2 linked regions of the Schizosaccharomyces pombe genome follow. The gene in region 1 interacts genetically with each later gene. Each region holds a gene or a part of one and is shown in the gene's direction. Other genes may lie near its edges.

Region 1 (7,069 bases):
ATCGGCTTTTGTTTACCAAGTGTATTAACTCGATATCGAGTATATTTTGATGTATACGCATGCTATACTGATTATAAAAAATTATTAATCCACAAAGTCTTAGAAATTATGAGAACTAAATGAAATACTCTTTAAAAATAGAAAAAAAGTTAAAAATATTTATGTTTCAAGTTAAACAACAATGTAAGGTTCTAGTGGTAAAGTAAGTATGTTTATTATTAGGTCGCGACGCGAGAGTACTTCGTATTTTGACAACAACACACTAAAAGTCAGAAATCAGAAGGCTATAATTTTTTATAGCACTAGAGATTTTGGGTTATTTTATATTAGAACCTTATAGTTTAAGGGTATAATTGCTTTTTTCCAGTCCTTTAAATTGTTTCGGTCGATAGGATTGATTCATGGAGAAAACATATGGGAAAACTGTATTGCCATTGAGCAGAGTAAAGAGGATAATAAAGCAAGATGAAGACGTACACTACTGTTCTAATGCATCTGCTTTGTTAATTTCAGTAGCTACTGTATGTGTGTTGTTGATAAATCAGCTATCTGGGCGACTTAGCACCATTTTGATTGCATAAAAGAAAAAGAAAAATAAAAGCTTACCTATTTTATGATTTAGGAATTATTTGTTGAAAAGTTAGCAACAGAGGCTTATCAACTTGCCAAATTACAAAAACGTAAAGGAATACGATACAGGGACGTTGAGGACGTTGTACGTAAGGACGATCAATTTGAATTTTTATCAGATTTGTTTTCTATATAATTAAAAAGTGTGAGAACTGGAAAACGGAAGCTTAAGTGTTTCCTTTCTTGTTCAGAAACTTCCTCATGAAATGAAAGGAAACAATCATCTTGTCAGTAAAATGTGATTTAATGAATTTTATTTGAGTTTTCTTCTTCGTTTTCATGCTCTTGTGTCTTTTTATCCACAATGCGCATTTTCAAACAGCTTTATCAAACAACTACTGTAGCTATTTGGATAAAATAGAACACATGTTCTCTTAAATTGGGTTACCTGATTTTTCATGTTTCAATCATGACTAATTTGCGGCCTTTGTTAGCTACATCTATAAACAATCTTAATGATTAGGAAATGGTTAAACGTTTGAACTCGATTGAAAGATATTGAAAAGCTACCAGCGCCCATCTGTATATTCTTCATTTAATTCCTTTCTCAATATCATTTGGTTCATTTATTTAAACAAAAATGCAGAGAAGGTCGAGCTTCTTTATCTAATCCCAGCGATGCAGACGTATTGCTTGCTTCATGGTTATATTCTATACCTCCGCTACCTTGCCGTGATAATGCCGTAATCGTACATTACTATACTCGAAAACTGATTTAAGATTTGTTCTGTTCTAAATTTCCGACTACCGAATGAATTACGACACTCCACCTTGTTTCGTTAATACTACTCCATTACTAACAATTGCGCAAATACTGAAAGCAAACCAGAACCAAGTAGAAAAAATGTCGGTTTACTCATTTTCAGACGTTAGTTTAGTTGCAAAGGCACTTGGTGCATTCGTTAAAGAGAAAAGTGAAGCTTCTATTAAAAGGCATGGCGTGTTCACTTTAGCTCTTAGTGGAGGAAGTTTACCAAAGGTTTTGGCTGAAGGATTGGCTCAACAGAGAGGTATCGAGTTTTCCAAATGGTAAGTTAACAGATATTATATACTTTTGAGTTGTATGGATTCACTGTGGTTTTGTTTAGCTTTGGTTGACGTGAAACACTCTGTCTTAAGGCAATTTATGATTAACAGCTCTATTTAGGGAAGTTTTCTTTGCTGATGAAAGAATTGTTCCTTTAGATGATGAAAACTCAAATTATGCGCTCTGTAAAAAGTTGATTTTTGACAAGTTTGAAGGATTTGACCCTAAAAAAATTCATACCATCAATCCTGAGCTTTTGAAAGAAAATCCTATTGACCCTCAGAATGTTGCTGATGAATATGAAAAACAATTAGTGCATGTGTTTGCAAATAGCTCCACTGTTAAGGTCCCTGTGTTTGATTTACTGCTGTTAGGATGCGGTCCTGATGGCCATACATGTTCTCTATTCCCCGATCACGAGGTACTCCAGGAAGACGTTGCTTGGGTGGCCCCAGTCACTGATTCGCCCAAACCCCCTAAAGACCGCATCACTTTGACTTTACCGGTTGTCACACATGCTCAAGCCATTGCCTTTGTTACCACAGGTGCTGGTAAGAAGGATATTTTGCCTATTGTCATTGAGGATTTTACATCTAAACTTCCAAGTGCGCTGATCACTCGAAACAATTTGACTCGTACAAGCTGGTTTGTGGATGATGAAGCATCAGCCAATCTTGAGAGATCCTCTTTGAAGGTTTTCCCTCAATAGGCAGTTCAATTTAAGCAGGTGGCCTTTAGAATGCTTAATTGCTACATGCTTCGGATTCATTACTTGTTTCTTTAAGGTCTTTCAAGGGAAAGGTTGCAGTTCTCTTTTGTTGTTCGTGAGATTCTTTGCATAAACGCTTTAGATAATGACTTTCAAAATGCTTTCAGTCACTTCCGTGGAATGCTTGATGACCAGTTTTAACACATGTTAGTAGATTAGGAGAGAACTTGTTCCTCAAATCCTCTTTGCATTTGTTGTCTGTTTTTTATTTTAGACTAGCGTATAAAGGTTAGTCTTGTAAACAATGTGTAAGAAGCTAATGCTTTATTAAATTGTTTTATTGCTTCGTTTAGAATCATGTTTAGTTGATTGATATCACTGGCCAAACCCACACTGCAGAAATATGATGTTTTAATGAAGAAATGAATCATTGAAATATATAAACTTAAGCTATCTTGTATCATTTTTTGTTGGTGATAATGTTCTAAAATGTGTTTCATCAACAAGATAAAGTAAACCAATTGTTTTTGAATTGCAGTGATATAGTTTAGCTTCAATTCTTTTATTAAATCATTAATTCATTTTTAAAATTATGCAAAATTACGGCATTTTCTCATACTGCTTATGATAGATTTTAAGCAAAGATGGAAATTTATATCCAAAAACATGCAATTGCTTAAACTCTCCTTTATGTAAGGGTTTATTAATACTTATGTGTTTTCTACAGATGGCAACCTTCTGATTAATTATCATTAGGTTAATTTGTGATAGAAGCTGTAGTGATCTTAATTACAATAGTTTACATTATAGCAAGATGTTCGACATGACTCAATAGACTAAAAATTTTTTTTCTTAGCATATTCTTCAAAACTGTAGGTCTTAAAAACAGTTTTGTTAGCTTAACATCACCTTAAGTCGTTAGTCATCGTAGAGGAGGCACTTGATATTTCCATCGCACAACATGAACTACCAAAGGCTTGAAAAGTTAGGTAAGTATGAGTTTGAGGTCCCAAAATTTGCAATTTCATTAACTTAAGTAGGAGAGGGAACATATGCGCATGTTTATAAGGGGCAAAATCGAGTGACTGGTGAAATTGTCGCTCTCAAAGTTATTCGTATTGATGCAGATGAAGGAACACCTAGTACTGCTATCCGTGAGATTAGTCTTATGAAGGAGCTTAGGCATCCCAATATTATGTCTCTCTCAGACGTTTTGCAAACCGAAAATAAGCTTATGCTCGTTTTTGAATATATGGAAAAAGATTTGAAAAAGTACATGGACACTTATGGGAACCAAGGAGCTCTTCCACCTTCTCAAGTAAAAAATTTTACTCAACAATTACTCAAAGGGATATCTTTTTGTCACGAAAACCGAGTTCTACATCGTGATCTGAAACCTCAAAATTTGCTTATCAACAGTCGTGGTGAATTGAAATTGGCGGATTTTGGGTTAGCCCGTTCAATTGGAATTCCAGTGAATACTTTTTCAAACGAAGTGGTCACCTTATGGTATCGTGCTCCTGACGTTCTTTTGGGTTCTCGAGTATATTCAACTTCCATTGATATTTGGTCAGTTGGTTGTATCATGGCAGAAATGGCTACAGGACGTCCTCTATTTGCTGGGTCAAATAATGAGGATCAGCTACTAAAAATCTTCCGATTATTGGGAACTCCTACTGAACAATCATGGCCCGGAATTTCTTTACTTCCTGAATATAAGCCTACTTTCCCTATTTATAAAGCACAAGATCTCGCCTACCTATTTCCAACATTTGATCCTCTTGGTTTGGATTTGTTACGACGGATGCTTCGTCTACAACCTGAATTAAGGACGACCGGCCAGGATGCGCTTCAACATGCTTGGTTTTTAACCGCATAGGCTGTAAATTAACATCAAAAAGTTTAACCAAATTACGATTTTATTTATTCATTTCAGTTTCCTATTGAAATCATTAATTTTTTTTTTGGAAAGAATGCATTTCACCTAGGGAAAGAGCACAATATTTTTGGACGTTCAAATTTCTTCGCAACTGTTTTAGCCCAAGTAGCTATCCCTATTGATCTTTTTTAAACGAGGTTTAGAGGTAAATATTTGGTTATTATTTTGAGAGGATTTGAAGCTGTCGAATATATTTTTAGCCAAGAATTAAACGGCGTTTTATTTTCTACGATTAAAATATCGTCGCTGATGACATTCAAGTCGTAAATGAAATACTTAAAGAATTGAATGATCCGCATTGCGTCTGACATTTTTATGAAGGAGCAAAAGGATAATATTCAAAAAGCAATGCGGGTTTTTAGTATACTGATAATAATTTGCGGATTTCAAGCAATTATCCGCAATGCACATGAAAAACAATCTTTTTTCACTTATTTTTATTAGTGGATTAATGGCTTCCTTCCCTATTATTTAACTGCATGAAGGGATTCTCTATTAATGTTCTCTTTAACCATTCGACATTTTATGTGGTTTCTGTCGTTCATTATTCTTTTTATTTACTTTCATCTATACTCCATCTTTTCAGTTTTGAGGCATCAATGGTAGGAGGTGACTAAATTTCTTTGAGTTTCGTTTAGGAAGAAGGTTCAATTTGTAAACATGAAATAATAATTGTGTCTTTTACAATTTCTTTTGAGTTTTTCTACTCGCTTGGCCCAGCAATCTATTGTTTAAGGAGATATACGGATTTGGCTTATCGTATTTTTACGACATCTTCTACCTCGCCAAATCTTTTAGTTTTACCCATACTGCTAGAATTTACATTACATGAAAAAATGACTGATACGCGAAAATTCAAAGCTACTGATTTATTTTCATTTAACAATATAAATTTAGATCCTCTAACGGAGACCGTAAGTTACCATCTACCGTACTTAAAGCGGACTTTCATTAACTCGAACAACTTTTAGTTCAATATTTCATTTTATCTCAGTTATTTGAACAAATGGCCTAGCTTGTGTGTTGTACAAGAGTCTGACCTATCTGATCCAACCCTTATGGGTTATATTATGGGGAAATCAGAAGGAACCGGTAAAGAGTGGCATACTCATGTTACCGCCATTACAGTAGCGCCAAATTCCCGTCGTTTAGGCCTTGCTAGAACGATGATGGACTACTTAGAAACTGTAGGAAATTCTGAAAACGCTTTTTTTGTTGACCTGTTTGTGCGTGCCAGCAATGCACTTGCAATTGACTTTTACAAAGGATTGGGGTATTCGGTTTATAGACGAGTTATTGGGTACTATAGTAATCCACATGGAAAGGATGAGGATTCATTTGATATGCGGAAACCACTTTCGCGAGATGTTAATAGAGAAAGCATTCGAGAGAATGGGGAAAATTTCAAATGCAGCCCAGCTGATGTTTCATTTTAGTTCACTCTCTTTTTACAAATCTATTAACTAGTGCAAAGGAAGAAGATTTTTTTTTATATTAGGTAAATGGTATAGTATGTACATCATATTAATGAAAATCAAAGTTCAGAAACGACTAATATTTGCTATGCTTTAAGACCTCGGTCCTTTTCCTTGCTTACATATTGATATTGTAAGTATTTGAAGTTTTTGATTAATGATTATGCAACTCTTTGGAACATTTTGATAATTTATCAATAAAATAATGTATCACTACACAATGGTTGAAATTTGCGTTCAGTTTCCTTTAGATAAATAGCAAATCGTCTACTAGTTACTTTATTTCTCTAATGTGAAATGGCAAACTAAATAACTTCTATTTATGTTAGCAATAAATCAATGAATGACTATACTACCCACTTCCATTCAGTCCTCTATACTTGCAAAATGAAAGACAAAACTATGTAAATACATGTAAAACATATCTTTACCAAAAATCGTAGCTACACGATCATCTGACTTAACAACTTTGCAAAAACAATTCACCACAGAAATATTTTTTTTAAACAAGTAGTAAGTAATTGCCAGCAATAACTTTTAACGTGAATTATTTTTTTAAAAGTAAAACTATCTGAAAAAAAATTTACATCATGAGCTTACAATATCAAAAGTTAAATAAAGAAATAAGAAAATATTCGAAGATTAAAAAGACGCCAGTTCAACGAAAAGAGAAGAGGCCTTTTATTTCAACCTTCTACTATATCGGTTGATTGAAAATTGACCAGAGAATTGAATGTATCTAACAGATCAGAGTGTTTCAACCTTTGTCCAACAACGGACTTTATACTGATAAATTTCACTTCATGGTTTTATTCAACCAAGTTCTTATACAAAAAGCACCTCTACAATTAAATCAGAAATCACACGCAACTTTACAGAAAATTGAGAAGGTCACAAATGAGTTATTTTATATCAAATTACGATTGATTTACTCTTGGGGGATCTCAATTTCGCCATTGTCGATCTCCTTTTGAACGTCGTGAGGGTTCTTGCCGTCAACGGTGCAACCAACAGAGAAGGCAGTACCGAGAATCTCCTTAACGGTACCAGAAAGCTCCTTAGCAAGAGACTTGAAGCGCATAGTACGGGCGACCTCAATGATTTCGTCAAGAGAGACATTGCCAGAGTGAGCGACGTTCTTGTCCTTCTTTCTGTCACGAGCAGGCTCCTTCAAAGCCTTAATGACCAAAGCAGAGGCAGAGGGAACAACCGAGACAGCGGCTTGACGGTTTTGAATAGTCAACTTGACGGTCACACGGAGACCCTTCCAATCTTTGGTAGCCTTGGCA
Region 2 (4,221 bases), 520 kb from region 1:
TTGAAGCAATCTTACTTCCAATGATTAATTTTGTATTAGATAACAACATTTTTGACGTGTATGCAGAGTTGTTTGAAATTATCGATGGTTGCACTTTTGCTTCTAAGGAGATATCCCCTATTATGTGGGGCGTGTATGAAAAGCTTCAAAAGGTGTTGAAAGAGTCTGGCATTGAGTTTGTAGAGGAGGCAACTCCTGCCTTAAGTAACTTTATCACGTATGGTGGAAAGGAATTTGCTTCCCGTCCTGATTATATCGCCGTTATGGTTGATATTATCATGCAAGTTTTTAATAGCGAGCACCTGGCCGTCAATGACCGTGTTTCGGCTTGTAAACTAACCGAACTTTTAATGCTTAATTATCGTGGCCTTTTGGATCAATATGTGCCTGCGTTTATTGAGGTTGCTGGTAATCTCTTACTTGTAACTGAAAAGCCAACTTCTCAAACATACCGCGTATTTTTGTTGGAGGTTATAATCAATGCATTATATTATAACCCATCGATGTCTCTTGGGGTACTTGAAATGCATCAGTGGACTTTACCATTCTTTGCGTTATGGTTTGAAAATATACCTTCGTTTACTCGTGTGCATGATAAAAAGTTGAGTTTGGTAGCTATTTTATCGGTAATTTCACTGGGAGCTCAACAAGTTGCTGTTGCTATCCAAGACTCTTGGGGTAATATAATGAAAGTCATGATAACTCTTTTAAATACACTACCTGAAGCATTAGCTGCTCGCGCGGAATTAGAAAAAGAGTATGACGGTGAAACATTTAATTTATCTGGCTCTGGTTGGAATGATGGCATCGATTGGGAAGCCGATGATGATGAGGGTGTCGATGACTTTGCCGTCGAATATGGGGGACCTGATTTGGGTGGAGAAATCTCGGCTGATGTGGTTGACGATTTTGACGAATTTGAGCATTTCCAAGGAAATTACTTGTTGGACGAGGATCCTCTTTTCCATACTTTGTTAGATCAAGTTGATCCATTTTCACTTTTCCAAGAGTTTATGGTTCATTTAAAGGACAACAGCCCTGTCACATTACAAGATCTTGTCAAAAATTTGGAAGCATCCGAGCAGCAATCCTTACAGAGATTGGTAACTGAAAAACCCTCTACCCTTGCTGTCGCTTCCGATAAAACATGAGCCTGTTTGGCGCTCTAAGCCTGTCCAATTTTGGTAATAAAATATAAAAATATAAAACAAGCATTTTCTACACAGTGGTAATAAGCCAAACTGACATATTTGAACGGCTCTTTTTAAATGGGAAATCAAACTCTACGGGTTTGTAAAAATAATTTCTTCAATGAGATACGACCCGGAATTATGGCTTGGGAAAAATGGATGGAGGGTTTGTCTAAAGGGAAGGCTAAGAAAATTATTGTTGTATCGGTTTACAGTTCGGTGAAAACAAACGCAGAGGTGTGTTTCTTTTATAAGAATTTTGGAACGCCAATTGATTAAATGAAATTTAAAATCATAATATACCAGTTAATAAATATGAGAAGTTTTAAAATCGATTAATACTAGTTCATTTGCTTTTACTTTATGCGAATTGACAAACGCAAGTTGATGAGAAAATGAAATAGAAATATATTTTTCTTGAGGAAATAAGCATAAAGTTAAGTATCCACGATTTAGTAGTATAGGGAAAGTCGGTGTTTATGAATGGTATATTAGATGTACGTTGAATTAAGCAGCTAACTAAATTGATAACGGCTAGTTTAGGGGTTGGATAATATGATAAACGGCTTTTACAAACTAAATTTGATAGACAGCCCCCCATTAACGATGTTGTTATATTGATAAAGCTAAGATTTGCAAGATTTATCTTTAAAGTTATTTTAAAAAGATATCCTTCAAATTTATGATATTATTAAAAATATCATAAATATCTTTAAGAGCCAGCGTTATTATACTATTGCTTCAAACTGTAATGATATTGTTGTTATAGCACAACGCTATCATATAACAGCATTCCAAAGCCGTAACAACAGTACATTTAATCGCGGTTTTTGGGTGAAGTTAAGACCTAAGATATAGGAATACATTTTTATTAATAATATGGGACTACCCCCTAAAACTATTGTTTTAGACAATGGGGCATACCATATAAAAGCTGGATTTGCAGGTGGAAAAGTTGTGTAAGAAGAAGTGCATCACGTCAATAAATTTCATGTATCTTTTACTTTTTTCAGCTAACGATAGTTTTTAGTGAAATTCCGAATTGTTTGACGAGATCAAAAGATGGAAACAGATTATTTTTGGGGAATGAATTGGCCAACTGTAACGACTTTACAACTTTACAATTTCGCAGGGCGCATGAAAAGGTACAGCATTTATGAGGGAGTATTATTTACGAACAAAATAAATACAAAGATTATGTTTACTAATACTAGTAGGGGTATTTGGTCCATTGGAGCACAGAAACAGCCGTATGGGACTTGGTAATGCGCAATGTAGGTGTGATGGAACCTAGCATGGCAGACTATTCTTTACTGCTTACACAGCCCGTATTTACAATGCCTTCCATAGAACACAATACTATACAACTCGTGTTTGAGGAATTCCAATTCGATGCTTACCTCCCTTGCACCCCAGCTGAGCTAATTCCTTGGGATCATGGAAGTTTCACAATGAATCAAGAAGATGCGTATACTGGTCAACATGGAGAATGCGTTTTGGTAATTGACTCTGGATATAGCTTTACACACATAATTCCTGTGATTGATTTCTCTGTTCAAGAACAAGCGGTAAAGCGAGTTGATGTGGGAGGGAAATTACTTACGAATTATTTAAAAGAAGTCATCTCATACCGGAAGTACAATATGATGGAAGAAACATACATTGTTAATGAAATTAAAGAGTCCGTTTGTTATGTGTCTCAAAACTTCAAGGAGGACATGGAGATATGTCACGAAAAACCACGGTCAAAATTGGAAATTTGTTATGCTTTGCCCGATTACAGCACTGGAAAACATGGATATATTGTTAGAGATATTAATCAAAAAATAGAGCAACAAGTTTTGAATCTTTCAAATGAGAGATTCATGATACCAGAATTATTATTTTCCCCATCTGATATCGAAATACGTGAGGCTGGGATTCCAGAGGCGGTCATGCAAAGTGTCACCCACTTTCCTGAAAATATACAGGCAATGTTGCTTGAAAATGTTGTTACAATAGGAGGAAACTGTAAATTTCCCGGATTTCATAAAAGACTATCATCTGAATTACGGTCGCTGGCACCAGCTAATTGGGAAGTTAAAGTTTTTGAACCTTCAGATCCTATTTGCTTTCCATGGAAAAAGGCATCTCATATGCCGTTGGAGCACTGGAATGCGAATAAAATAACTCGTTCTGAGTACTCAGAACATGGAGCAAACATAATGACACGAAAAAGGAGAATATAATAGATCACCATTTTAAAACTCAATAATGTGGGTTAAATTTCTATCTTCACAAAATTCTCAAGGCGAGCTGATAATTCGCATCTTAAGAAATTGGTTTATTACATTAAGGCTACAGCAATATAAAACGAAAAATATGCATGCATTAAGAATAAAATCTTTTTATATTAATTAACGAATCATTCTATCTCTTGATCAACCACTAAAACAACAGCTAAATAACTATATCTTTATTATTGTCGCCAGGATAATTCATACCTAAAAAGCGTTAGCGAAATGAAAGATATTATAAAAAAGATAGGAATGAAAATCAGTATACAAGTATAAAAATTTAACCACATAGTTGTGTCTTCAAGACTAATCGATTTGTAAAGCATCATATGTAACATTCTATCTCTTCAAGTGTTTATACTTACATATTATTAATGTGCCTGAAAAACAAGATTGAAAAAAAAGAAAAATTTCAGCACTTCTTCACTACTGTTTCAAGTGCATTTTATATGTACAGTGCAGTTTCAGGTTGACAGTATAAGAGTTAAAGCAACCTTGAGTTAGAGCAGTCACGGTATACTACTTTAATTAGAATGTAGCGCGTTGCGTTGCAATGTAGTCGTGTCGCGTCTGTTTACATTTTGGATAGAAAGAGCTTTTCGTGAAATTTTGTTGCTTCTGTTGGATAAATTGTTCTTTTTCTCAAGTTAATCATATAATTCAGTAAAGGAAAACTGTGTAATAAGAAGAATCGAGATCCCAAATTATTTCTGTTGAGCCTTGTTCATGGGCTACATATATTTTCCCTCACATTT

Evidence for each region. Genes that interact genetically often act in the same process or in processes that back each other up.
Region 2: mutations in pef1 (region 1) and arp6 together harm fitness more than expected from each alone (negative genetic interaction), as found in Schizosaccharomyces pombe (2 studies listed by BioGRID).

Annotation. Positions count from the first base shown.
Region 1 is NC_003421.2:684,427-691,495, forward strand, and holds pef1 (cyclin-dependent protein kinase Pho85/PhoA-like Pef1), read left to right. Parts: upstream 1-3,308; 5' UTR 3,309-3,327; coding exon 3,328-3,355; exon of another isoform or gene 3,356-3,406; coding exon 3,407-4,245; downstream 4,246-7,069. Other genes in the region: DNA polymerase epsilon Dpb3, read left to right, coding at 402-521, 623-766; pgl1 (6-phosphogluconolactonase), read left to right, coding at 1,475-1,659, 1,778-2,366; NatB N-acetyltransferase complex catalytic subunit Naa20, read left to right, coding at 5,142-5,219, 5,277-5,741; rpl1201 (60S ribosomal protein uL11), read right to left, coding at 6,709-7,069.
Region 2 is NC_003421.2:1,209,939-1,214,159, forward strand, and holds arp6 (Swr1 actin-like protein Arp6), read left to right. Parts: upstream 1-2,000; 5' UTR 2,001-2,069; coding exon 2,070-2,149; exon of another isoform or gene 2,150-2,220; coding exon 2,221-2,335; exon of another isoform or gene 2,336-2,407; coding exon 2,408-3,418; 3' UTR 3,419-3,721; downstream 3,722-4,221. Other genes in the region: nmd5 (karyopherin), read left to right, coding at 1-1,151.